Anolis sagrei: one gene and its partners. The protein of the gene in region 2 binds, or shares a complex with, the protein of the main gene of each other region. Links are inferred from orthologs where the notes say so. Each region holds a gene or a part of one and is shown on either strand. Other genes may lie near its edges.

The links.
Region 1: the proteins of EIF4A1 (region 2) and PDCD4 are in contact, whole or in part, in a crystal structure (PDB 2ZU6), measured with the Homo sapiens proteins. The link is inferred for Anolis sagrei from reciprocal best matches to the Homo sapiens genes EIF4A1 and PDCD4. Residues at the interface, in NP_001407.1 of Homo sapiens: Gln75, Thr109, Arg110, Glu111, Ile135, Gly137, Val140, Thr158, Gly160, Arg161, Asp164, Glu186, Leu188, Ser189, Arg190, Gly191, Phe192, Gln195, Ala214, Thr215, Met216, Pro217, Glu240, Leu241, Thr242, Asn280, Thr281, Arg282, Arg283, Thr329; in NP_055271.2 of Homo sapiens: Pro170, Gln173, Glu174, Glu177, His178, Glu183, Glu186, Met187, Asp190, Leu209, Glu210, Lys212, Glu249, Leu250, Leu252, Asp253, Thr254, Pro255, Arg256, Gly320, Gln321, Gln322, Ser323, Val324, Leu327, Glu348, Lys352, Glu355, Val356, Pro357.
Region 3: the proteins of EIF4A1 (region 2) and KANK1 are in contact, whole or in part, in a crystal structure (PDB 7DDX), measured with the Mus musculus proteins. The link is inferred for Anolis sagrei from reciprocal best matches to the Homo sapiens genes EIF4A1 and KANK1. Residues at the interface, in NP_659207.1 of Mus musculus: Lys99, Val140, Arg141, Val144, Gln145, Lys146, Leu147, Gln148, Met149, Glu150, Ala151, Arg168, Arg169, Tyr170, Ser172; in NP_852069.4 of Mus musculus: Gly1168, Asn1169, Asn1171, His1175, Tyr1176, Val1178, Asn1201, Lys1202, Ala1203, Tyr1205, Met1209, Leu1210, Leu1213, Ala1214, Ala1215, Gln1240, Ala1241, Leu1248, Ser1251, His1252, Arg1254, Asp1273, Glu1274, His1285.

The regions. Positions count from the first base shown.
Region 1 is NC_090023.1:209,438,771-209,446,695, forward strand, and holds the start of PDCD4 (programmed cell death protein 4), read right to left. Parts: upstream 3,220-7,925; 5' UTR 3,112-3,219; intron 1-3,111. UniProt on the Homo sapiens protein: Inhibits translation initiation and cap-dependent translation. May excert its function by hindering the interaction between EIF4A1 and EIF4G. Inhibits the helicase activity of EIF4A. Modulates the activation of JUN kinase.
Region 2 is NC_090026.1:3,281,183-3,288,934, forward strand, and holds the start of EIF4A1 (eukaryotic initiation factor 4A-I), read right to left. Parts: upstream 3,105-7,752; 5' UTR 3,053-3,104; coding exon 3,030-3,052; intron 1-3,029. UniProt on the Homo sapiens protein: ATP-dependent RNA helicase which is a subunit of the eIF4F complex involved in cap recognition and is required for mRNA binding to ribosome.
Region 3 is NC_090022.1:221,263,953-221,272,437, forward strand, and holds the start of KANK1 (KN motif and ankyrin repeat domain-containing protein 1), read right to left. Parts: upstream 3,378-8,485; 5' UTR 2,986-3,377; intron 1-2,985.

The DNA of each region.
Region 1 (7,925 bases), on a different chromosome or scaffold from region 2:
GGCAAACTTTGGCCCTCTGGATGTTTTGGATTCCAACTTCCACAATTCCTAACAGCGGAATTGTGGGAGTTGAAGTCCAAAACTCCCGGAGGGCCAAAATTTTCCCATGACTGTGATAAAGCTACAACTCCCAGGATTCCACAGCACTGAGCCATATGAGTTAAAGTAGTGTCAAACTGCAATTCATTCTACAGTGTGGATGCACGTACCATGCTATTGAATTGTGGGAGTTGTAGTTCTCTGCGGTCTTTAACCTTCTCTGCCAAAGAGTACCAAACTACAAATCCCAGGATTCCATAGCACTGAGCCTTGGGAGTTTAAGTTGTGTCAAAAGAGTATAGACTTCCTACAAAAGAGACAAAACTTCAATTCCTGAGTACACTAAAGCTATCAAATATTAGAAGAATTAGGGAAGGCAAGCTCTTGTAGTTGCTGTTAGTTTTCCGGGCTGTATGGCCATGTTCCAGAAGCATTATCTCCTGTTGTTTCTCCCACATCTATGGCAGGCATTCTCAAAGGTTGTGTAGTTTGTTGGAAACAAGGAAAGTGGGGTTTATATATCTGTGGAACATCCAGGGTGGGAGAAAGAACTCTTGTCTGTTTGAGGCAAGTGTGAATGCTGCAATTGGCCACCTTGAGTAGCACTGAAAAGCTTTGCAGCTTCAAGGCTTGGCTGCTACCTGCCTGGGGGAATCCTTTGTTGATTAGTGATTAGCTGGAAAACTCACGCAACCCAGTGATTCCAGCTATGAAGGCCTTCGACAACACATTAAACTTCATTAAATTTGCAACGTAGAGGCACCACTAAAGAAAAGCAGCACTCCACATCTATTATCTCTCTCACATACACACACCCATCTACCTTCTTTTCATAAAGTAATAAAACCAATTTCTTTTTATATGAAGTCAAGTTGCATTCCTATGCACCTTGGATACATGTCCCACCAAGGAGCTGGATGAGTTTGCCCTGCAAACCACCTTGCAAAAACATATAATAATAATAATAATAATAATAATAATAATAATAATAACTGGGATCTGCACGCATTATTTGCTTATACATCACACAGTCCTAGACACTTGGGAAGTGTCCAATGTGTGATCCAATACAACAGCCAGCAGAGTGTTTGCTGTGGACTCATCTTGTGGTGTTTCAAATAATACTAATAATAATAATTACTATTATTATTATTATTATTATTATTATTATTATTATAGACACTTGGGAAGTGTCTGACGTGTGATTCAATACAACTGTGGACTCATCTTGTTATGTTTCAAATAATAATAATATATTTTTGAAGGTTTTCATGGCCGGAACTACTGGGTTGTCGTAAGTTTTTCGGGCTGTATGACCATGTTCCAGAAGTATTCTCTCCTGATGTTTTGCCTGCATCTATGGTGAGGACCTCACAACCTCTGAGGATGCCTGCCATAGATGCAGGCGAAACCTCAGGAGAGAATGCTTCTGGAACATGACCATGCAGCTCAAAAAACTCACAAAAACCCATAATAATAACTGTATTTTTGTATCCCGCCTCCATCTCCCCGGCTTACGTGGGGTTAAAATATGAAGCATTAAAATTCATAAAACAGCATAAACAAATAAACAACAGCACAATACAATTTAAAACCACCATTGAGTAACTTGAAATTACAAGATAAATGTAAAGGTTTTCCCCTGACATTAAGTCCAGTCGTGTCCGACTCTGGGGGGTGGTGCTCATCTCCATTTTTAAGCCGAAGAGCCAGCGTTGTCCGTAGATATCTCCAAGGTCATGTGGCCGGCATGACTGCTCAGAGCGCTGTTACCTTCCTGCCAGAGCAGTATCTACTGATCTACTCACATTTGCATGTTTTTGAACTGCTAGGTTCAAAGAAAATTTGCTTCCTATGAAGGTCCTATTGAATTGAAAGCAGCACATTCCCTATAAAACTGACATTCAAGGCTGCAATGCTGTGTACATTTTGTAAAGATAGGCACAGAGCTAACTTAGGAGGAAAGGTGCACAGGACTTGCACTACAAGCAAAAACGTGATTCCCATTTGCATCATAGGATGCACCTACATGGCAGAATTAATGCAGTTTGCCACCACTTTAACTGCCAAAGCTCAATGCTATGGAATCCTGGGAGTTGTAGTTTCACAGTAAAGAATGCCAAACTACAAATCCCAAGATTCCACAGCATTGAGCAATGGAAGTTAAAGTGATGTCAAAAGTGCATTAATTCTGCAGTGCAGATGCACCCCATGGCAATCCTATGCATCTATAGGATCGGATCTTACGAGATCTGGCTTAGCTTCTTTAATTCTTGAATAATAACAACAATAATAATATAAACAATCTGAAATACCAAGGAAGGCAACAATCAGTGACATATCTCTCGCACCAGAGACACCGAAATAAATACAATCCAAAACATGGGCTGCACACAAGTCTTTTACTGCCAAGACTCAATGCTATGGAATCCTGGGAGTTGTAGTTTCACAAAGAATGCCAAAGTACAAATCCCAAGATTCCACAGCACTGAACAAAGGGATGTCAAACTGCATTAATTCTGCAGTGCAGGTGCACCCCATGGCAATCCTTGGCATCTCTAGGATCAGATCTCAAGAGGTCTGGCTTGGCTTCCTTAAATCTTGAATTATAATATAAACAACCCAAATAATAACAATATAAACAATCCAAATAATAGCAATATAAACAATCCAAAACACCAAGAGAGCCAACGATCAGTTACATGTCCCTCGTACCACAAACAGAGTCCAAAACATCGGGTCTTTTCAGCACTTGCTCAAGGGTGCATCTACACTGTAGGATTAATGCAGTTTGATACCACTTTAGCTGCCAGGGCTCAATGTGATGTAATCCTGGGAATCTAGCAGTTTTGCAAAGGTCTTTAGATGCCAAAGAATCAGTTGGTATCCCACCAAGCAAGCCAGGATTCCATAGCACTGAGCCATGGCAGTTAAAGCGGTATCAAACTGCATCAACTCTACAGTGTAGATCTCCCCTGGTTTGTTTTGGGGTTTTGTTTTTTTTGCACTCCTAGGCTGCTCCTTTTAGGTTTCCTCAAGGGGTCAACACTTCAAAAATGTTTGGAAATTCACCTTTTTTTCCCCCCTGGCTGCAGAGACTCCGAAGGGCCGCTGCCTCCTTCCCCGGCGGGTCCCTCCACCACGGTCACCGCCTCCTCCGCTTGTTTTCAAACAGACCTCCGCTTTCGCCCACGTTTCACCCAGGGCTAGCCCCGCCTCCCAAAGCTCAAGGCGGGACGCCATTGGAGGAGGCCGCCCTTTTAATTAGCATCGGCACGCCCCCTTCCCGCCGCACGAGGCGTGGGCGTGTCGCCTTCCCAAGCGGCGGCGTGGCCTCAGGACGCCATTTTTGCTGGCGCAGGTGGATTTAGCTCCCGGAAGTAAGGCCACTTTCAATGGGCGCAGCTACAATGTAGGATCAATGCGCTTTGACAGCGCTTTAAGTGCCAAGGCTCAAGGCTATGGAACCCTGAGAGCTGTGGATTGGTGGATCACCAGTCCTCATTGGCAGGGAAGGCTCAAGATCATGTGAAACTACAACTCCCAAGATTGTTTCAGAAAGGACTTGATACTCTATAATTATCATGACTTTAGGGATCCTGTGTACTTTATAGGGTCATAATTCCAATGAAATGATGGGATTTGTTGTTATGGAGGTGTACTTGCTTAGAGTGCATCTGCACTGTAGAATTAATGCGGGTTGACCTCACTTAACTGCCAAGACTCAATGCTGAGAGCTGTAGATTGGTGGATCACCAGTCCTCTTTGACAGGGAAGGCTCAAGAGCTTGTGAAACTACAACTCCCAAGATTCTTCAGCCAAGCTGCATTAAGAAGAAACTTGGGATTCTATAACAATCCTGACTTTAGGGGTCCTATGTAATTTATAGGGTCATTATTTCGATGAAATGTTAAGGGAGGTGTACTTGCTTTGAGTGCATCTACACTGTGGAATTAGTGCGGGTTGACCTCACTTAACTGCCAAGGCTCAATGCTATGTAACCCTGGGAGCTGTAGATTGGTGGACCACTAATCCACCAATCTTGAGCCTTCACTGCTCTTTGACAGTGAAGGCTCAAGACCCTGTGAAACTACAACTCCCAATAGTCTGCAGCCAAGTTGCACTCATTCTACAATAAGAAGGGTTTTGGAACTCTATAATTATCATGACTGTAGGGGTCCAATGTAATGTATAGAGTCATAATTCCAATGTAATAATGGGATTTGCAGTTTAGGGAGGTGTACTTACTTAGGGTGCATCTACACTAGAATTAATGAGGGTTGATATCACTTTTAACTGCAAAGGCTCAATACTATGGGATGCTGGGAGTTGTAGTTTTCAAGTTTTTTTAAAGCCAAAGTACTAGAGTCTCGCCAAACTACAAATCCCAGGATTCCAAAGCATGGAGCCATGGTAGATGAAAGTGGCTTTACACTCCATTCATTCTACACTGTAGATGCACTTTGATCCTCCAGTGAATTCTGGAGGACCTGCAGACACTTAAAGCAGAGTGGGGGGGGGGGGTGTCAGAGGAGTTGTCAGAAAACTGTATTTTCTGTTTGTCATGGGAGTTCTGTGTAGGAAGTTTGGTTCAATTCTATTGTTGGTGGGGTTCAGAATGCTCTTTGGTTGTAGGTGAACTATAAATCCCAGCAACTACAACTCCTAAATGTCAAGGTCTATTTTCTCCAAACTCCACCAGTGTTCACATTTGGGCATATTGAGTATTTGTGCCAAGTTTAGTCCAGATCTATCTTTGTTTGAGTCCACAGTGCTCTCTGGATGTAGGTGAACTACATTGAAGCTATGGTTCTCTGCCATCAACTCCGCTGGACCGGCCACGTTGTTCGGATGCCTGATCACCGCCTCCCAAAGCAGTTGCTCTACTCTGAACTTAAGAACGGAAAACGGAATGTTGGTGGACAGGAAAAGAGATTTAAAGATGGGCTCAAAGCCAACCTTAAAATCTCTGGCATAGACACTGAGAACTGGGAAGCCCTGGCCCTTCAGTGCTCCAGCTGGAGGTCAGCTGTGACCAGCAGTGCTACAGAATTCAAGGAGGCACGAGTGGAGGGCGAAAGAGAGAAACGTGCCAGGAGGAAGGCGCGTCAAACCAACCCCAACTGGGACCGCCTTCCACCTGGAAACCAATGCCCTCACTGTGGGAGAAGATGCAGGTCAAGAATAGGGCTCCACAGCCACCTACGAACCCACAAGGAAACGCATAATGGAAGACCATCTTACTCGTCCAACGAGGGATCGCCTAAGTAAGTAAGTAAGTACAACTCCCAAATTCAAGGTGAGTGCCCACCAAACCCTTCCAGTATTTTCAGTTGGTCATGGGAGTTTTGTTCCAAGTTTGGTTCAATTCCATCGTTGGTGGAGTTCAGAATGCTCTTTGATTGTAGGTGAACTATAAATCCCAGAAACTACAACTCCCATATGGCAAGATCTATTTCCCCCAAACTCCACCATTGTTCACATTTGGGCATATTGAGTATCCGTGCCAAGTTTGGTCCAGATCCATCATTGTTTGAGTCCACAGTGCTCTCTGCATGTAGGTGAACTACAACTCCCAAACTCAAGGTCAGTGCCCACCAAACTCTTTCAATATTTTCTGTTGGCCATGGGAGTTCTGTGTGCCAAGTTTGGTTCAATTCCATCCTTGGTGGAGTTCGGAATGCTCTCTGGATGTAGGTAAACTATAAATCCCAGCAACTACAACTCCCAAATGACAAAATCAATACCCCCCCCCCCCCAACCCTACCAATATTCAAATTTGGGCATATTAGGTATTTGAACCAGATTTGGTCAAGTGAGTGAAAATACATCCTGCATATCAGATATTTACATTATGATTCACAACAGGAGCAAAATTACAGTTATGAAGTAGCAACGAAAATGATTTGATGGTTGGGAGTCACCACAACATGAGGAACTATATTAAGGGGTTGCTGCATTAGGAAGGGTGAAAACCACTGACTTAAAGGGAAGTATTGTCTCTAGGAATCTCTAGGCAATGTATGGGCAAACTTTGGCCCTCCAGGTGTTTTGGACTTCCATAATTCCTAACAGCCGGTAAGCTGTTAGGAATTGTGGGAGTTGAAGTCCAAAACACCTGGAGGGCCAAAGTTTGCCCATACCTGCTCTAGACCCCCCAGATTTATTAATTAAACCCACAAATAGTCAAATTTGCAAAATTGAAACCCGCAGATGTTGAGAGGACCAACTCTATTGCACTCCACACTGGCCTCTTCATCTGTCATCCTAATTCATGTTAATGTCAGAAAACTTATGACCGACGTTTTTCAGCTTGTGATTCATATGCCAAGAATGAGTGGCTTTTCAAAAATTTGTTTCCCCCTCCCCCAATCCTTGAAGCCATCTTTTTTAAACACGGAGAAGCAAACACACCCTCAGTCTTTGAACATCCCGATATTCTCCAACATGGAAAAGTACTGAGTGTCCCTCCGCACGACCTCAACCCAGCAATTATTGGGAAAGAAATGTCCCGTGTGGGATTTCACGGTCCGGTAAACAATAAGCCTCAATTGCAGCCTAACCGGATCTTAACCGTATTTACCCAGAAACCAGTCTTGCCATCAAATGCATTGCTGAATGAGTGAGATCGTAAAAGATAAAAAAGAACCATAAAAAGCTCACACGTAACATATAGATCTCAACCTTCCTAATGCCGTGACCCCTTAATACAGTTTCTCATGTTGTGGTGACCCCCGACCATAAAATTATTTTCATTGCTGCATCATAATTTTGCTACTGTTATGAATCCCAATGTAAATATTTGACATGCAGGATGTATTTTCATTCACTGGTCCAAATTTGATACAAATACCCAATACACCTAAATTTAAATATTGGTGGGGTTTGGATTGATTTTGTAGCTGATGGGATTTATAGTTCACCAGGCCCGTAGCCAGGATTTTGTTTCGGGGGGGGGGGGGGGGCTGAGTCTGAGTGAAAGAGGGTCTACCCTAGCAAACCTTTTGTATTGTTACCCCAATACCCCCATGCATATGGGATATATTGATCATGGTGATCAGATCATGATATGAATAAACATAACAGTTTAAATAATGTACCAGTAAGGCCTTCTCACGGACCACCATCAGAATTTCGGGGGGGGGGGGGGGCTGAAGCCCCCCAACCCCCCAGCTGCATGCCTGTAGTTCACCTACAATCAAAGAGCATTCTGAACTCCACCAACGATGAAATTGAATCACATAACTCCCATAACCAACAGAAAATACTGGAAAGGTTTGGTGTGCATTGGAAGTTTGGGAGTTGTAGTTCACCTACATCCAGAGAGCACTGTGGACTCAAACAATGAGGGATCTGGACCAAACTTGGCACGGATATTCAATATGCCCAAATGTGACCACTGGTGGAGTTTGGGGAAAATAGACCTTGACATTTGGGAGTTGTAGTTCACCTACAAAAAAAGAGCATTCTGAACCCCACAAACGAACACCCACACAGAATCCCCATGACCAACAGAAAATACTGTGTTTTCTGGTGGTCTTTAACGACCCCCCCCCCTGACACCCCCTTGCGACCCCCCCCCCCCCCCCGGGTCCCAATTTCCAGGTTGAGAAACACTGATATAGATGAAAAAAGACAGAATGGGGGACAGTTGCAAAGAACATGTATCTAGACTTTGGGATCCATCTACTCCGTAGAAGTGATGCAGTTTGGCACAACTTTAACTGCAAAGGCTCAATGCTATGGGATCCTGGGAACTATTGTTTGGTGAAGCACCTGCACTTTGGCAGAAGAGGCTGAAGATTGTGTCACACTGCAACTTCTCCAGACCTCTGACTCTTCTGAGTTTGGAAAAACTCAGAAATCCCAGGCCAGAAGAAAAGCCT
Region 2 (7,752 bases):
TCCATCAGGCCATTGTTTTTTCTCCTTTTAAGATCAAGGCTACATTCTTGTCAATTCCTTATCTTCTATTTTCCTGTCTGGACAATCTGCACATACGTATTGTATTGTGCCCTCCCCTCCTATCCTTTAGAAAGGAAGTTAAAAACTGGTTATGGAACCAGGCATTTGGAGTGTAGCACAGGGCTATAGGCAGCTACGAAGTGACGGCGTTGCGATTGGAACGGCTTCTGGAGTGTTTTCAGGTCTATGTGTACTGTTTTTAACAGCTTAATGAATGTATTTATATGTTAGTGTTTTGGAACGGCTTCTGGAGTGTTTTCAGGTCTATGTGTACTGTTTTTAACAGCTTATTGAATGTATTTATATGTTAGTGTTTTATGATTTCTATGATATATTGTATTTTTTGAGCTTTTATGTTAATAAATTCCATCTGAACATGAAGAAGAACTTCCTGACTGTGAGAGCCGTTCAGCAGTGGAATTCTCTGCCCCGGAGTGTGGTGGAGGCTCCTTCTTTGGAAGCTTTTAAACAGAGGCCGGATGGCCATCTGTCAGGGGTGATTTGAATGCAATATTCCTGCTTCTTGGCTGAATGGGGTTGGACTGGATGGCCCAGGAGGTCTCTTCCAATTCTTTGAGTCTATGATTCTATGATATATCTGTGGAATATCGGCTGAGGGGAAAAGGAAAAGGCCTGAGGCTGCTAGGAATGATGGGAGTTGGAGTCCAAAACACCCCCAGGGCCCAATTTGGCTGAAAAAGTTCTGAGGCTGCTGGGAATGATGGAAATTGGAGTCCAAAACACCCCCAGGGCCTTCAGTCTCTTGAATTATGTTTCTCCCATCGATATAGTTGGCCCTCGAAGGTGGCAACACAGCTCTGCCGCCATTTTTGACCCGAAAACACCATTTTGGGCCTCCCAGACCGGAAGTTCCGCCGGCCTCGCGCCCTTCCTTCCTGACATCCGGGTCTTTTCCCAGCGCGCGGGGCTCGAGGCCTCTGCGGCGCCTCCCACTTCCGGAATTTCCTTATAAGGCCAGCGAGGCCCCGCCCTTTTTTGCTCGCCTGCGGCCACGGGGGCCGCGTGACGTCACGGGCAGCCGAAAAGTTCCCGGATGCAGAGCGGCAGGACAATGGGCAATGGAAGGAGAGAGGAAAAAATGGACGCGCCCAAAAAAAGGGGGGGGGGAGGGGAAAATAAGGAGATTCTAGGATTCACAACTAATGGAATTTCCCATTCGAGAATAGAGATGGGAAAAGGAGATTCTAGGATTCACAATTTCCAACTAATTGGATTTCCCCATTAGAGAAGGAATTCGGGAATGGTTTCGCCTTAGCGTGCCTCCCCATTAAGGGAATGGTCTCGCCCAAGCGACCCAAAGAAATGATTTCCAACGAAGAGGTGGAAAATGGGTTTTCTCATTGGAGAATGGCGGAAGGGGTCGAACTGAGCGTCCTCCTAAAAAGGAATGGTCTCGCCCAAGCGTCCCTAAGAAACAAGACGCTGGGAAATACCAAGTGTTTCGGGAGGGGTGGGTAGAGTTGGGGGATCGGGAATAGGTTCGCCTGAGCGTCCCCCGTTTAAAGGAATGGTCTCGCCCAAGCGTCCCAAAGAAACAAGGCACTGGGATTCACCAAATGTTCCGGGAGGGGCGATTAGAGTTGGAAATGAGGGGTCCCCCGTATATAGGAATGGTGTCGCCCAAGCGTCCCAAAGAAACAAGGCGCTGGGAAATACCAAGTGTTTCGGGAGGGGTCGGTAGAGTTGGGGGATCGGGAATAGGTTCGCCTGAGTGTTCCCCGTATAAAGGAATGGTCTCGTCCAAGCGACCCAAAGTAACAAGGCACTGGGATATACCAAATCCTCCAGGAGGGGGGATTACAGTTGGAAACGAGGGTCTCGCCCTATAAAGGAATGGTCTCTCCCAAGCGTCCCAAAGAAACAAGGCGCTGGTACATTCCAAATATTCCGGGAGGGGTTAAGAGTTGGAAATGAGGATCCCCCGGTATAAAGGAATCGTCTCGCCCAAGCGCCCCAAAGAAACACGGCGCTGGGAAATACCAAATGTTCCGGGAAGGGGGGGTTAAGAGTTGGAAATGGGGGGAAAGGAACCATTGTGTAAGAACGAGAAAGTTGTGTAAGAACGAGACGCAAAATGGCTCCTCGCGTGGGGGAAAGGAGAAGCGACGCCGTGCACATTCCACGAAAAAAAGTGGAAAATACAATTTAAAAATAATAAACAACCCCCCTCGGAAATTAAATGGACTCGTCCGCCATGTAGGAAGCCAACGGGAGGGACGAAACTATTTTAGAAATGGAGGGGGGTCGCAATTCCACTAAGGGCACCCTCGAAATTTAATGGATTCGTCCGCCATGTAGGAAATCAACGGGAGGGACGAAACTATTTTAGAAATGGGGAGGATTGCAACTCCACTAAGGGCACCCTCGAAATTAAATGGATTCGTCCGCCATGTAGGAAAGCAAAAGGAAGGGACGAAACTATTTCAAAAATGGGGGTGAAGTGGGTGCGCGAAATGCGGGGCGAGGTGGGATTGCAACTCCACTGAGAGCGCCCTCGATGCGCGAAATGGCGCCGAGGAGATAGGCCAAGGCGAAGGCCGCGCCAACGCTCGAGGCCTACCTCTCCTCTATTTTTTCTCACCACCACCCCCGGAAAGGAAATGGTTCCGCCCAGAGGTCCATAAGGGACTAAAAGGGCGAGGGAGAGTCCAATCCGTTTTTAGGGGGGGAAAGCGGGAGGGAAAGGAATCGGCCACGTGGTCAGGAAGAAAAGGGAACTTAAGGCCAAAGGATGAAAAAAAGGTCACGAAAATGAAACAAAAGCAAAATAATAACACCCAGGATTGTTAAAATAGGAATAACGAGGGATTTCTAATATTATCCCACCTACTGCGGAAATGGTTTGTTCCACCGCGGAGGGAGGATGGAAGGAAGAAGGAACAGCCGCGGCCTAGCGCGGAGGGGGGGGGAGGGGGAGAAGGGAAGAGCCTTCCCTCGCGCTCACTCACCGGCTCTCTTGACTCGCAGACATTCTGGGCAGAAAGGTCCTAGCCCCGCCCGCTTCACTCCACCTTATAACAGCCGCCTAGTCCCGCCCACCGGCCCCTCCCTTATTGGCCCGCAGGCTAAGTCCCGCCCCTTGTTTCCCCTCCTCCTATTGGACCATCGCACTGCCCGTCAGCTAGACCGGCTTCTCTCTGATTGGCTGCCCTGTTAAAAAAAAAACACACCCCGCGTCAGGCGTTGACGGAGACTCGCGCTGATTGGTTGAATCGCCGGAACTGGGTGACGTCAAAGTGGCGGGGCTTACTGAGAAAGCTGGAGACGTGACGTCAAGGAGGAGAAAGGCGACGCTGATTGGCTCTCCGCCGCGCCTGTCAGGAAGGGGCGGGAAAGGAGGTAGCCAATGGGAGGCGAGGAGGAAGGAGTAGGCCCCAAAGCAGGCCAGGAGAGGAAAAAGCCCACGTGGTGGAGAGGCCCTTCTTTGTGGGGGGCCAAATTAGGAAGGGTTCCAGTCGTTGCAAATAGGAACTACAATTCCCAGGATCTTCCGGGGGATTCTGGGAATTGTAGTCCAAATGGGAACTGGGGGATTCTGGGAATTGTAGTTCAAATGGGAACTGGGGGTTTCTGGGAATTGTAGTCCAAATAGGAATTGTAGTCCGAATAGGAATTGTTGCAAATAGGAACTGCAATTCCCAGGATCTTCTGGGGGATTCTGGGAATTGTAGTCCAAATAGGAACTGGGGGATTCTGGGAATGTACTCCAAATAGAAATTGTTGCAAAAAGGAACTACAAATCCCAGGATCTTTCCGGGGGATTCTGGGAATTGTAGTCCAAATAGGAATTGTAGTCCGAATAGGAATTGTTGCAAATAGGAACTACAATTCCCAGGATCTTCTGGGGGATTCTGGGAATTGTACTCCAAATAGGAATTGTTGCAAATAGGAACTACAATTCCCAGGATCTTCTGGGGGATTCTGGGAATTGTAGTCCAAATAGGAACTGGGTGATTCTGGGAATTGTAGTCCAAATAGGAACGGGGGATTCTGGGAATTGTAGTCCAAATAGGAATTGTAGTCCGAATAGGAATTGTTGCAAATAGGAACTACAATTCCCAGGATCTTCTGGGGGGTTCTGGAAATTGTAGTCCAAATAGGAATGGTTGCAAATAGGAACTACAATTCCCAGGATCTTCTGGGGGATTCTGGGAATTGTAGTCCAAATAGGAACTGAGGGATTCTGAGAATTGTAGTCCAAATAGGAATTGTTGCAAATAGGATCTTCTGGGGGATTCTGGGAATTGTAGTCCAAATAGGAAGTGGGGGATTCTGGGAATTGTAGTCCAAATAGGAATTGTTGCAAATAGGAACTACAATTCCCAGGATCTTCTGGGGGATTCTGGGAATTGTAGTCCAACATCAGCATGGGAAAGGGTTCCCATTCTTTTCCAATCCAGCATGATAGCCTTTCAAATGCCCATAGCTCTATGCTATGGGGTTCTGGGAGTTGTAGTTTCCCAAGGCCTTGAGCTTTCTCTCACCAAACTACACTCCCCAGGACTCCAGAGGTATCAAACTGTATTAGTGTTACAGTGTAGATGTGCCTTTTAATGCAGGCATGGGCCGACTTCGGCTCTCCCTCCAGGTGTTTTGGACTTCAACTCCCACAATTCCTAACAGCAGGAGACAACCCCAATGTGGTCTATACCACTGGTCACTTTTCTCCAGGACGAAAGAGAGCCACTGGTCAATACTCTTTGGCCAATGTGTTGTCGAAGGCTTTTATGGTCGGAATCCTGGGAGTTATAGTACTCAAGGGGTAGTGCATAATATGCTTGTAGTTGGCCTCTATAGAAATAGAGTGCTGGGATGGAGAGTGGCAGCAACAGCATCCTCCCTGATTTCAATTTTAATTTCTGGAGTGAAAGCTTGTGTTTAAAGGGTTGTTGTGAGTTTTCTGGTCTGTCAGGAAGCATTCTCCTTCCTGACGTTTCATCCACACCTATAGCAAGCCCAGCTAACCCAATCAGGGCCAGCTAACACGTCCCAACAAAGGATTCCCCCAGGCAGGCTTTGACAGTGCAAGGCCATTCAATGCTAATCAATCTGGTCCATTGCAACATTACTTCCAATTTTAATTTTACATTTGGCCTTCCCACTGTTTAATTGTGTGTTGTCTTATTGATAATGTTGTATATTTTATTGTCTATGTTTTATTTTAATTTGCTTGTAGTTGTTATTGCTTGTATTGTTGTATTTGGGCTCGGCCTCATGTAAGCCGCACCGAGTCCCTTAGGGAGATGGTAACGGGGTACAAATAAAGTGTTATATTGATTGATTGATTTGTCGTGTCAGGACAACCAGTCAAATTATATTACATTTCTAACAGAACAAAGCAAACAAACAGACAAAATACAAAATTTGTGAGTTTAGTAGTTGGTTAAATGTCCTTTGACCCGTATCTGTCCACTTGGAGTGCTTCTGGTGTTGCCGCAAGAAGGTCCTCCATCATGCATGTGGCAGGGCTCAGGGTGCATTGCAACAGGTGGTCAGTGGTTTGCTCTTCTTCACACTCGCATGTCGAGGATTCCACTTTGCAGCCCCATTTCTGAAAGTTGGCTCTGCATCTCGTGGTGCCAGAGCGCAGTCTGTTCAGCGCCTTCCAAGTCGCCCAGTCCTCTGTGTGCCCAGCGGGGAGTCTCTCATTGGGTATCAGCCATTGGTTGGGGTTCTGGGTTTGAGCCTGCCACTTTTGGACTCTCGCTTGCTGAGGTGTTCCAGCGAGTGTCTCTGTAGATCTTAGAAAACTATTTCTAGATTTAAGTTGTTGACGTGCTGGCTGATACCCAAACAGGGCATGGGCTGGGGATGTCTCTGCCTTGGTCCTTTCACTATTGACTGCAACTTCCCAGCAGATGTCAGGTGGTGCAATACCAGCTAAGCAGTGTAATTTCTCCAGTGGTGTGGGGCGCAGGCACCCCGTGATAATGCAGCATGTCTCATTAAGAGCCACATCCACTGTTTTAGCGTGGTGAGATGTGTTCCACACTGGGCATGCATACTCAGCAGCAGAGTAGCACAGCGCAAGGGCAGATGTCTTCACTGTGTCTGGTTGTGATCCCCAGGTTGTGCCAGTCAGCTTTCGTATGATATTGTTTCTAGCACCCACTTTTTTGCTTGATGTTCAGGCAGTGCTTCTTGTAGGTCAGAGCACGGTCCAGAGTGACTCCCAGGTATTTGGGTGCGTTGCAATGCTCCAGTGGGATTCCTTCCCAGGTAATCTTCAGAGCTCGGGATGCTTCTCTCTTCTGCTTCTTCTTCTTCTTCTTCTTCTTCTTCTTCTTCTTCTTATTATTATTATTATTATTATTATTATTATTATTTACACTTGCCTCAAGCAGACAAGAGTTATTTCTCTACCCTGGATATTATTCCACCTATATATATTCCACTTGCCTAGTTTCCAATAGACCTCACAACTTCTGAGGATGCCTGCCATAGATGTGGGCGAAACGTCAGGAGAGAATGCTTCTGGAACATGGCCATACAGCCTGGAAAACTCACCAACAACCCACTTTTTGGCCAGTCAACCAGTTCCCAATCCACCTCACAGTTGTGCTGCCTAGCTCATGTTTTGCAAGCTTCTTTCTGAGAATGTCACAGGGAACCTTATCAAAGGCCTTCCTGAAATGGAGATAGGCCCCATCCACAGCCTTCACTGCATCTACCAAGCGTGTAACTCTGTTCAAAAAACAGAGATAAGGTTTCTCTGGCATGACTTTTTGAGACACCCATGTTGACTTTGAGTGAACACGGCCTTCCTTTCTAGGTGCTTACAGAGCACCTTTTCAAAGACCTGCAATGATCAAAGGATGGAGGGTATTGGGTTGTTGTAGGTTTTTTTGGGCTGTATGGCCATGTTCTAGAGGCATTCTCTCCTGACATTTCGCCTGCATCTATGGCAAGCATCCTCAGAGGTAGTGAGGTCTGTTGAAACTAGGAAAATGGGTTTATATATCTGTGGAAAGACCAGGGTGGGACAAAGGACTCTTGTCTGCTGGAGCTAGGTGTAAATGTTTCAACTGACCACCTTGATTAGCATTTGATGGCCTGGCAGTGCCTGGGGGAATCTTTTGTTGAGAGGTGATTAGATGTCCCTGATTGTTTCCTCTCTGTGTTGTTGTAGGTTTTTTCGGGCTATATGGCCATGTTCTAGAGGCATTCTCTCCTGACGTTTCACCTGCATCTATGGCAAGCATCCTCAGAGGTAGTGAGGTCTGTTGGAACGAGGAAAAATGTGTTTATGTATCTGTGGAATGACCAGGGTGGGACAAAGGACTGTTGTCTGCTGGAGCTAGGTGTGAATGTTTCAAATGACCACCTTGATTAGCATTTGGTGGCCTGGCAGTGCCTGGGGGAATCTTTTGTTGAGAGGTGATTAGATGTGTCTGATTGTTTCCTCTCTGTTGTTTTGGTATTGTAATTTTGAGTGTTTTTTTAATACCAGTAGCCAATTTTGTTCATTTTCATGGTTTCCTCCTTTTTGTTGAAATTGTCCACATGCTTGTGGATTTCAATGGCTTCTCTGTGTAGTCTGACGTTGTTGGAGTGGTCCAGCATTTTATTTGAGGACACAGAAATGCTGGACCACTCTCACAACCACCACGTCAGACTACACAGAGAAGCCACTGAAACCCACAAGCATGTGGACAATTTCAACAGAAAGGA
Region 3 (8,485 bases), on a different chromosome or scaffold from region 2:
GGAATGACACTGAGCAGGAGATCAATAAGCTTCCAGCTATGCATAAAATGCAGCTTCATTAGCTGACTCACGTGCAGAGCAGAGCGGCCAGAAGAGAGGGAAAGAAAGTTTCTTTTCCTCCTTCAGCAAGGGGAAGGGAATAAAAGAAAGCCGACACAATGATGTGCTGACAGGCACCTCTAGAAGTGTGCCCTCCCTTTCAAATACCTTTGAAGTTTCCAGAACAAAAGCCTCCCTCATCCCTACTGTTTCAAAGAACTGAGGGAGAAAGAAAGAAAGAAATAATGGAAGGAAGGAAACGAATGAAATGGAAAAAGGGACTTTGAGAAGAGAGGTGGTGGAGGACAGAGAAGCCTGCAAAGGAAAGCCACAGCATATAATGCATCTAGGTTTTAGAATTAATGCAGTTTGATCACACTTGAACAACCATGGCTCAGTGCTATGGAATGACAGGAGTTGCAATCTGGTAAGGGGCCAGTACTCTTAGGCAGAGAAGGCTAAATACCTTGTCAAACTACAACACTGAGCCATGGCACTTCCAAGTGGGGTCACACAACATTCATTCCACAATGTCCATGCACCCAGTGTAGAATTTAAAGTTTGACACCACTTTAGCAGTTGTGGCTCCATGCTATGGAGCCCTAGGATTTGTAGTTTTATCAGCTTTTTAACCTTCTTTGCGAAAGATTGGCAGTGCCTGACCAAATGACACTTCCCACTATTCCACTATTCCACAATATTGAGCCACGGTTGTGAATGTGAGGTCAAATTGCCTTTATTCTAAAGTGCAGGTGCATCCTGTGATTCCTTGTTTCTTGAACCTGTAAATCACTTCAGGGGCCCTTTCACACAGCCTTATATCCCAGAATATCAAGGCAGAAAATCCCACAATATCTGCTTTGAACTTGGTTATTTGAGTCCACGCTGCCATATAGTCCAATGTGTATAGGGTTGTGTGGAAAGGCCTTAGGTTTATTGGGAGTATATTGAGAGTAGGTATATTGGGAGAAAGGTGGGATAAAAATGAAGTCAGGGTGGATCTACACTTTAGAATGGATGCAGTTTGACCCCACTTGCACAGCCAGGGCTCAGTGCTAAGGAATCCTGGGATGTGTAGTTTGGGGAGGAACCAGCACTGTGAGCCCTCAGTGGCACAATGGGGTAAACCAGTGGATCTAAACCTGTGGGTCCCCAGATGTTTTGGCCTTCAACTCCCAGAAATCCTAACAGCTGGTAAACTGATTGGGATTTCTGGGAGTTGAAGGCCAAAACATCTGGAGACCCACAGGTTGAGAAACAATGGGTTAAACCCTTGTGCCAATAGGACTGCTGACTCGCTCCAGGGAGAGCACAGATGAGCTCCCTCTGTCAGTTCCAGCTCTCCATGTGGGGACATGAGAGAAACCTCCCACAAGGTTGATAAAACATCAAAACATTTGGGCACCCCCTGGGAAATATCCTTGCAGATGGCCAATTCTCTCACACCAGAAGCGACTAGCAGTTTCTCAAGTTGCTCCTGACCGGGGTGGGGGGGGGGGAAGCACTGTGTGGCAGAGAAGGCTCAAGACCAGGCCTGGGCAAACTGGCCCTCAAGGTGTTTTGGACTCCCAACTCGCACAATTCCTAACAGCCTCAGGGTGCTTTCCTTTCGCTTAAGCGACTGAGGCGGGGGGGGGGGGGAGTAAGGGGCCTGAGGCTGTTAGGAATGGTGCGAGTTGAAATTTGCCCATGCCTACTCAAGACCTTGTCGGCCTACAAGCTCCCATGGTGGCACAGCACGGATCCCTGGCAGCTAAAATGGAGTCAAGCTGCAGTGATGCTAGATGCGCCCTCAGGGCCATTGCAATGTCAAGTGAAGGGGAACTCCCAGGCTGAAAGAGAAAACACAGAAGGGGGGGGGGGGCACACGTGCTGACACCACAACATCCTAGCCTTTCTCTATCCAGCAGTGGAAAACCCCAGGACTGACAAAAGGGCAGGAGGTCAAGGTAAGCATTTGGAAAAGATGGGGTTCAATTGGCTCTGGGAGACTCCATGGCTAAAGCAGACCTAAAAGTAAGCCTAGGCCAGGCATGGGCAAATTTGGCCCTCCCTCCAGGTGTTTTGGACTTCAACTCCCACCATTCCTGAAGTCCAAAACACCTGGAGGGAGGACCCAAGTTTGCCCATGCCTGGCCTGCCAGCTGTTAGGAAAGGTAGGAGTTGAAGTCCAAAACACCTGGAGGGAGGGCTGAAGTCTGCCCATGCCTGGCCTGCCTAGTGTTAGGACTTATGGAGGTTAGTCCAAAACACCTGGAGGGAGGGCTGAAGTTTGCCCATACCTGGCCTGCTGACTGTTATAAATAGTAGGAGTTGAAGTCCAAAATACCTGGAGAGAGGGCCTAAGTTGGCCCATGCCTATCCTGCCGGTTGTTGGGAATGGTGGGAGTTGAAGTTCAAAACACCTGAAGGGAGGACCAAAGTTTGCCCATGCCCAGCCTTCCAGCTGTTAGGAAAGGTGGGAGTTGAAATCCAAAACACCTGGAGGGAGGGCTGAAGTTGGCCCATGCCTGGCCTCAGAGTGTTAGGAATGGTGGGAGCTATAATCCAAAACACTTGGAGGGAGGCCCAAAGTTTGCCCATGCCTGGCCTACGGGATGTTAGGAATGGTGGGAGTTGAAGTCCAAAGCATCTGGAGAGAGGGCCAAAGTTTGCCCATGCCTGGCCTGCCGGCTGTTAGGAAAAGTGGGATTTGAAGTCCAAAACACCTGGAGAGAGGGCCAAAGTTTGCCCATGCTTGGCCTGCCGGCTGTTAGGAAAAGTGGGAGTTGAAGTCCAAAACACCTGGAAGGAGGGCCGAAGTTTGCCCATGCCTGGCCTCGGACTGAGATCAAGCCTTCCTCATCCTTCTCAGGCCGGCCACCTACCTTTCCTTCCTTCCCTCTCTTCCTCCAAACAGCCCCCAAAGAAGCCCCCCCTCAATTGGAGAATGAGCGCCGGACTCACCTCGCTCCTCTGCAACCTGCGGAGAGGGGGAAAGGGGCGGGCTGTGGAGGGACTCCCTTGCAAGTCCGGCGCCCGTGGAAGGAAGGACACGGGGCGCCCTCTCCTCTCTCCCCCGGAGAGAAGTGGGCTGAGCCTGAGGGCCACAAGCCCACCGAAAGCGCTTCCAATCGGGAGAAGTCGCCGCCGCCTCCAACTAGGGCTGAGTCCGAGTTCCTCTTGCAAACTCCTCGCGTGTTTCTTTGTAGCAGCCCTCTCTCCGTGTGTGTGTGTCTCTTTCTCCCTCGCGCACATAGATAGACAGGCACACAGGCACACACACACACACACACACACACCCTCCGCCGCACTGCGTCTGCGCGCTGCTGCCCCAAACCAACAATGCTTTGCCCAGCAGCCCGCTCCCTCTCCCGCCCCCGACCGCGAGCCTCTCGTCACGTGACCCACCCCTGGGTTTGGGAGGGAGGGTTAAGGGTTCAAACACGCATGGGCAAACTTTGGCCCTCCCTCCCGCCAGGTGTTTTGGACTTCAACTCCCACGGCCTCAGGCCCCTTCCTTTTACCCCTCAGCCGCTTAAGTGGAAAGGGCCTGAGGCCGTGGGAGTTGAAGTCCAAAACACCTGGCGGGAGGGATAGCTGAAGTTTTGAGTTGAAACACTGACCTGTGGAAGGGCACAGGGGAGAGGAGGAAGAAACCCTGCTTGGCACCAAGAAATGACCAGGAAGCAGAGAAGGAAAGCTGCCTCTTGGCTAGCTTCCAGTCCCAAATGGAAAGTTGTGTGCAGAACCCAAACTCCAGAGAAAGAAGGCTGGCCCTGGCTCCATCCAAACAGCACCTTTCCTATGGGACAATCTATATATATATATGAAATACCTGATCATCTCAACAGGTGGGAATTACCTGTAAGGCAGCTTGAAAACTAAAATCTGTGAATATATATATATATATACAGAAGTAAAGGTAAAGTTTTTCCCTTGACATTAAGTCTAGCCGTGTCCGACTCAGGTTGGTGCTAATCTCCAATTTTAAGTTGAAGAACCGGCATTGTCCATAGACACCTCCAAGGTCACGTGGTCGGCATGAATGCATGGAGTGCTGTTACCTTCCCACAGGACTGGTACCTATTGATCTACTCACATTTGCATGTTTTTGAACTGCTAGGTTGGCAGAAGCTGGGGCTGACAGCATGAGCTCGCCTCACTCCCCAGATTCGAACCTGCTACCTTTCGGTCAACAAGTTCAGCAGCTCAGCGGTTTAATCCACTGCACCACCAGGGGCTCCCTCTATATACAGTATATACAGTAGAGTCTCGCTTATCCAACATAAATGGTCTGGCAGAACGTTGGATAAGCAAAAATGTTGGATAATAAAGGGGGATTAAGACTGGTTTTCAACCTATGGGTCCCCAGATATTTTGGCCTTCGACTCCCAGAAATCATAACAACTGGTAAACTGGCTGGGATTTCTAGGAGTTGTAGGCCAAAACACCTGGGGACCCACAGGTTGAGAACCACTGGATTAAGGAAAAACCTATTAAACTTCAAATTACATTATGATTTTACAAATTAAGCACCAAAACATCATCTTCTACAACAAATCAACAGAAAAAGCAGTTCAATACATGATAACATTGTGTAGTAATTACTGTATTTACAAATTTAGCACCAAAACATTGCAATGTATTGAAAAAGCTGTGGATCTGGGCTGGAGGCAGACTGTGTTGGATAATACAGAACATTGGATGAGCGAAGGTTGGATGAGCAAGACTCTACTGTAGATACATTTTGGACAGATAATATGATGATGATGATGATGATGATGATGATGATAATAATAATAATAATAAACTGGAGCCCCTGGTGGTGCAATGGATTAAACCCTTGTGCCAGCAGGACTGCTGACCGATAGATCAGCAGTTCGAATCCAGGGAGAGCAGGTTGAGCTCCAGCTCCCCATGCAGGGACATGTGAGAAGCCTCCCACAAGGATGGTAAAATATCAAAACATCCAGGCACCCCCTGGGCAATGTCCTTGTAGACGGCCAATTCTCTCACACCAGAAGCGACCTGCAGTTTCTCAAGTCACTCCTGACACAACAACAACAACAACAACAACAACAACAACAACAATAATAATAAACAACTTTATTTATATCCTGCCCCTCTCCAAAAGGGCTCGGGGCAGCTTACAAATAAATAAATAAATATAAGACTGAAGAAAGAATCCAAACATAATATATAATGACAACATTTTTAAAACATAGCAAACCAAAAATAACAATAGCATAGTAAAATATGCAGATTAAATTTTTTGCTGGATTTAAAAACATATTGCGCACCAGGGCAAAACCAGTTCAAGCCAGTTTGTACAGCTATAAAAAAAACCCACCATCATGATAAGTTATAGTCATTTCCAAATGCCTGCTTCCACGTCCATGTTTTCATTTTTTTTTCCTGAAGCTAGAAAGGGGGCCTGTCTGATTTCTTTGGGAAGGGCATTGCAGAGCTGAGGAGCCACTACCGAGAAGGCCCTTTCCTGCATTTCCAACAGTCGTGCTTGTGAGGATGGAGAGACCATGAGAAGGGCCTCCCTGGAGGACCTTAAGGTCTGAATGGGTTCATAGGGGGAAACACAGTCACGCAAATAGACTGGAGTATTTTAATATCTGGATATAGAATCCATGGATATGGACAGCCAAGTATATAACTTCATAAAGCTAATAAATCTGTCTGCATTGCAGTGAATCTTATACTCACCTAATGTTGGATTTGGGAATATGTTGCACTGTAGAAATTGCTGGACTGCGATTACTATCCCCTTTCAGGTCCTATCTACACTGCTATATAAAATAATAAATATTAATAAAAATTCTTTCTATCCCACCCTCTCTGCGCGGAGGGACTCTGAGCACTATCACAAAACCATATAACCCTGAATATCAAGGCAGAATAACCAGCAATATCTGCTTTGAACTGGGTTATCTGAGTCCACACTGCCATATATCCTGGTTCAAAGCAGATAATGTGGGATTTTATTTGACTGTGTGGAAGGGCCTCAGGGTGGTTTACAACATTAAATGCTGTGAAGTGCAGAAAAACAATAAACAGTTGTAAACAGGTGAGAACATACTAAACAGCAATATCAAAGAATAATCGAATCGGACAGTAAATTAAACATATCTAAAATATGCAATTAGACAATATGCAATTAAAATGGGATTCATAAATTAAAACGATTAATAGTTAAAAATTATTATTTTTCAAACCAGTATAATGAATTTTTTCCATACCCCAATTCCATTATCTATTCAGAACTGGATTATATGGCAGTCTAGACACATAAGCCATGTCAAATGAGATAATCTGGATTATCTGCTTTGATTTTTTTTATTGTATCAGAAGCGATGTAAAAAACTGCAAGTCCCTTTTGGTGTGAGAGAATTGGCCATCTGCAGAGATGCCCGGATGTGTTACCGTCCTATGGGAGGCTTCTCTCATGTCCCTGCATGGGAAACTGGAGTTGACGGATGGGAGCTCACCCCATCTGTTTTGATACTCCAGATTCAATGCCAGTGTAGATCCAGCCTCACTGACTACTTCGTCTAGTGTTGATAGAACTCGCAATCCAAAATCTCTTGAGGGGTCACACATTTACATATTGTGCAGTAACTTCAGTGAACTGAAGTTTTTTTCAACAGACATATATAACCCAGCAAGCAGAGCTCTTGCCTCCCTCCCCCGGAAAGTGCTTGACTTTGAAAAGTTTGTTTCCATTCTCAGCTAACCTTTTTTTTACAAATTGAATTAATTTGGCTATGGGATATGGCATAAAAGAGTTTAAGTAGCTGTTCCATCCCCTCTTACTTTTCACTATAGCAGAAAAAATAAACTTGTCCTTCTTATTATTTGTGTAGGAACAGGAGCTTGTTTTTCCACTGAGCAAGCGCTGCCTCTTTCAGATGTCCTCTCGCCAGAGTCTCTGACGGGCAGTGACCTTGGTGAAAAGCTGCTGCGTTACTGTGACAACATCAACACCATGTTCCTGTTCTCAGGGGGTGCAACAGATGTCTGCATTATACAGTAGCCTCTGTATAATGATGTATCTAAACAAATGATGTGTCCCCAGGCTGTTCTTTCTAAAGCAACAACACAGGTTCAGCTCATCGGCCTAACTCTTCTTACTGAGTAAAAATTATCTTGCCTGATCTCTGTACTTCATAACTTTTGCAGATCTTGATCTCTTGGCTTGGAAATAACTTATATGGTGAACGTGGGCAGATACTATACAATAACCAGCAAAGAGTGCAGAGTTCAGTTTCTGAAAAATTCATCCTAATTCATAATCTAGTGTAGACATCATGCGCTTTCTTGATATTGGGGAATCTGAGGTGATAGGCTCAAAAATAACCCTCAGTTGGGGTGATTCCACGATAAATATAGCAGCGTACCAGAAGTAAACTTCATAACCAGCAGAAACTTACATGAGGCAAGCTGGGATAGGCTTCTATTCTCCAGGATGGCTTAGGATTGCAGAGTCAGAACTTTAGGTTCAAACATATTTATTGAAGTAAAAGTAATACATTCTTGATAGAAAAGGTCTTGGAGTTCACTAGCTTACAAGTCTCATCTTCTAAAGGAGGTAAAAGGTAAATAGTAAATCCATGCAGCTACATTTTGCCTTTATCCAGGCAAAATGTAGCTGCATGGATTTACTATTATCCTTATAGGTAGAAAGAAGGGCAGAAGTCTGAAAATGGTGGAGACCACATAGTCAACCCAGGGGAGTTTATACTTAAGAGGAAGTTCCCTCGCAGAATTCCACTCCTACGTCATCAAAAAGGGAGGAGACAGTGGATAGCAGAGAAGAGGAAAGACAAAGTATTAAAAAACTAAAATTATAACAGTAAATAAAAAACAAAACTCAAGCACAGGGAAACTCCAGAGAAAAAACAATGTCATGTATCATGTTCTGCAGTTGATGGTGGTTGGTGGTGGTAGGCCTAGCAGTTGGCGATGGAAGGCTTAATGTAAGTCTTAGTTCTAAAGGGTTGAGTAACCTGGACGTAAGAGTTCATGGGTGAAAGCAATTAAGGGTGGGGGTATGCAAGAGATGGTTTGCAGCTGGGTGTTTCTGGATATAAGGAGCTAGCTTTGGGACTGATCTTCAGGAGAAAAGTATTTGTCTAATCTTGGTGCTAGATGCTGCTGGTTTTCCCCCGGGTTTGTGGATTTTTTGGTGTCATGACCTGTCTCCTGAACCTTTGGAATCCGGGGACCTTGAATCTTTGGACTGGCTTTTGACTACGGTATAGACTCTTGATCCCTGGACTTTGCTGATTGAACTCTCAGCGTTTGACCATTGGACTGGACCTTTTGACTTATCTTGAACCTGCAACTGTTTTTGTTTTATATTCTGTGGCTGAGTGCAATCTTCATGTTTTAGATCTTGGACTATTAAAGCAGCCAGAAAGTAAGTGCTGTTTTAATTAAATTGCTTGAAACA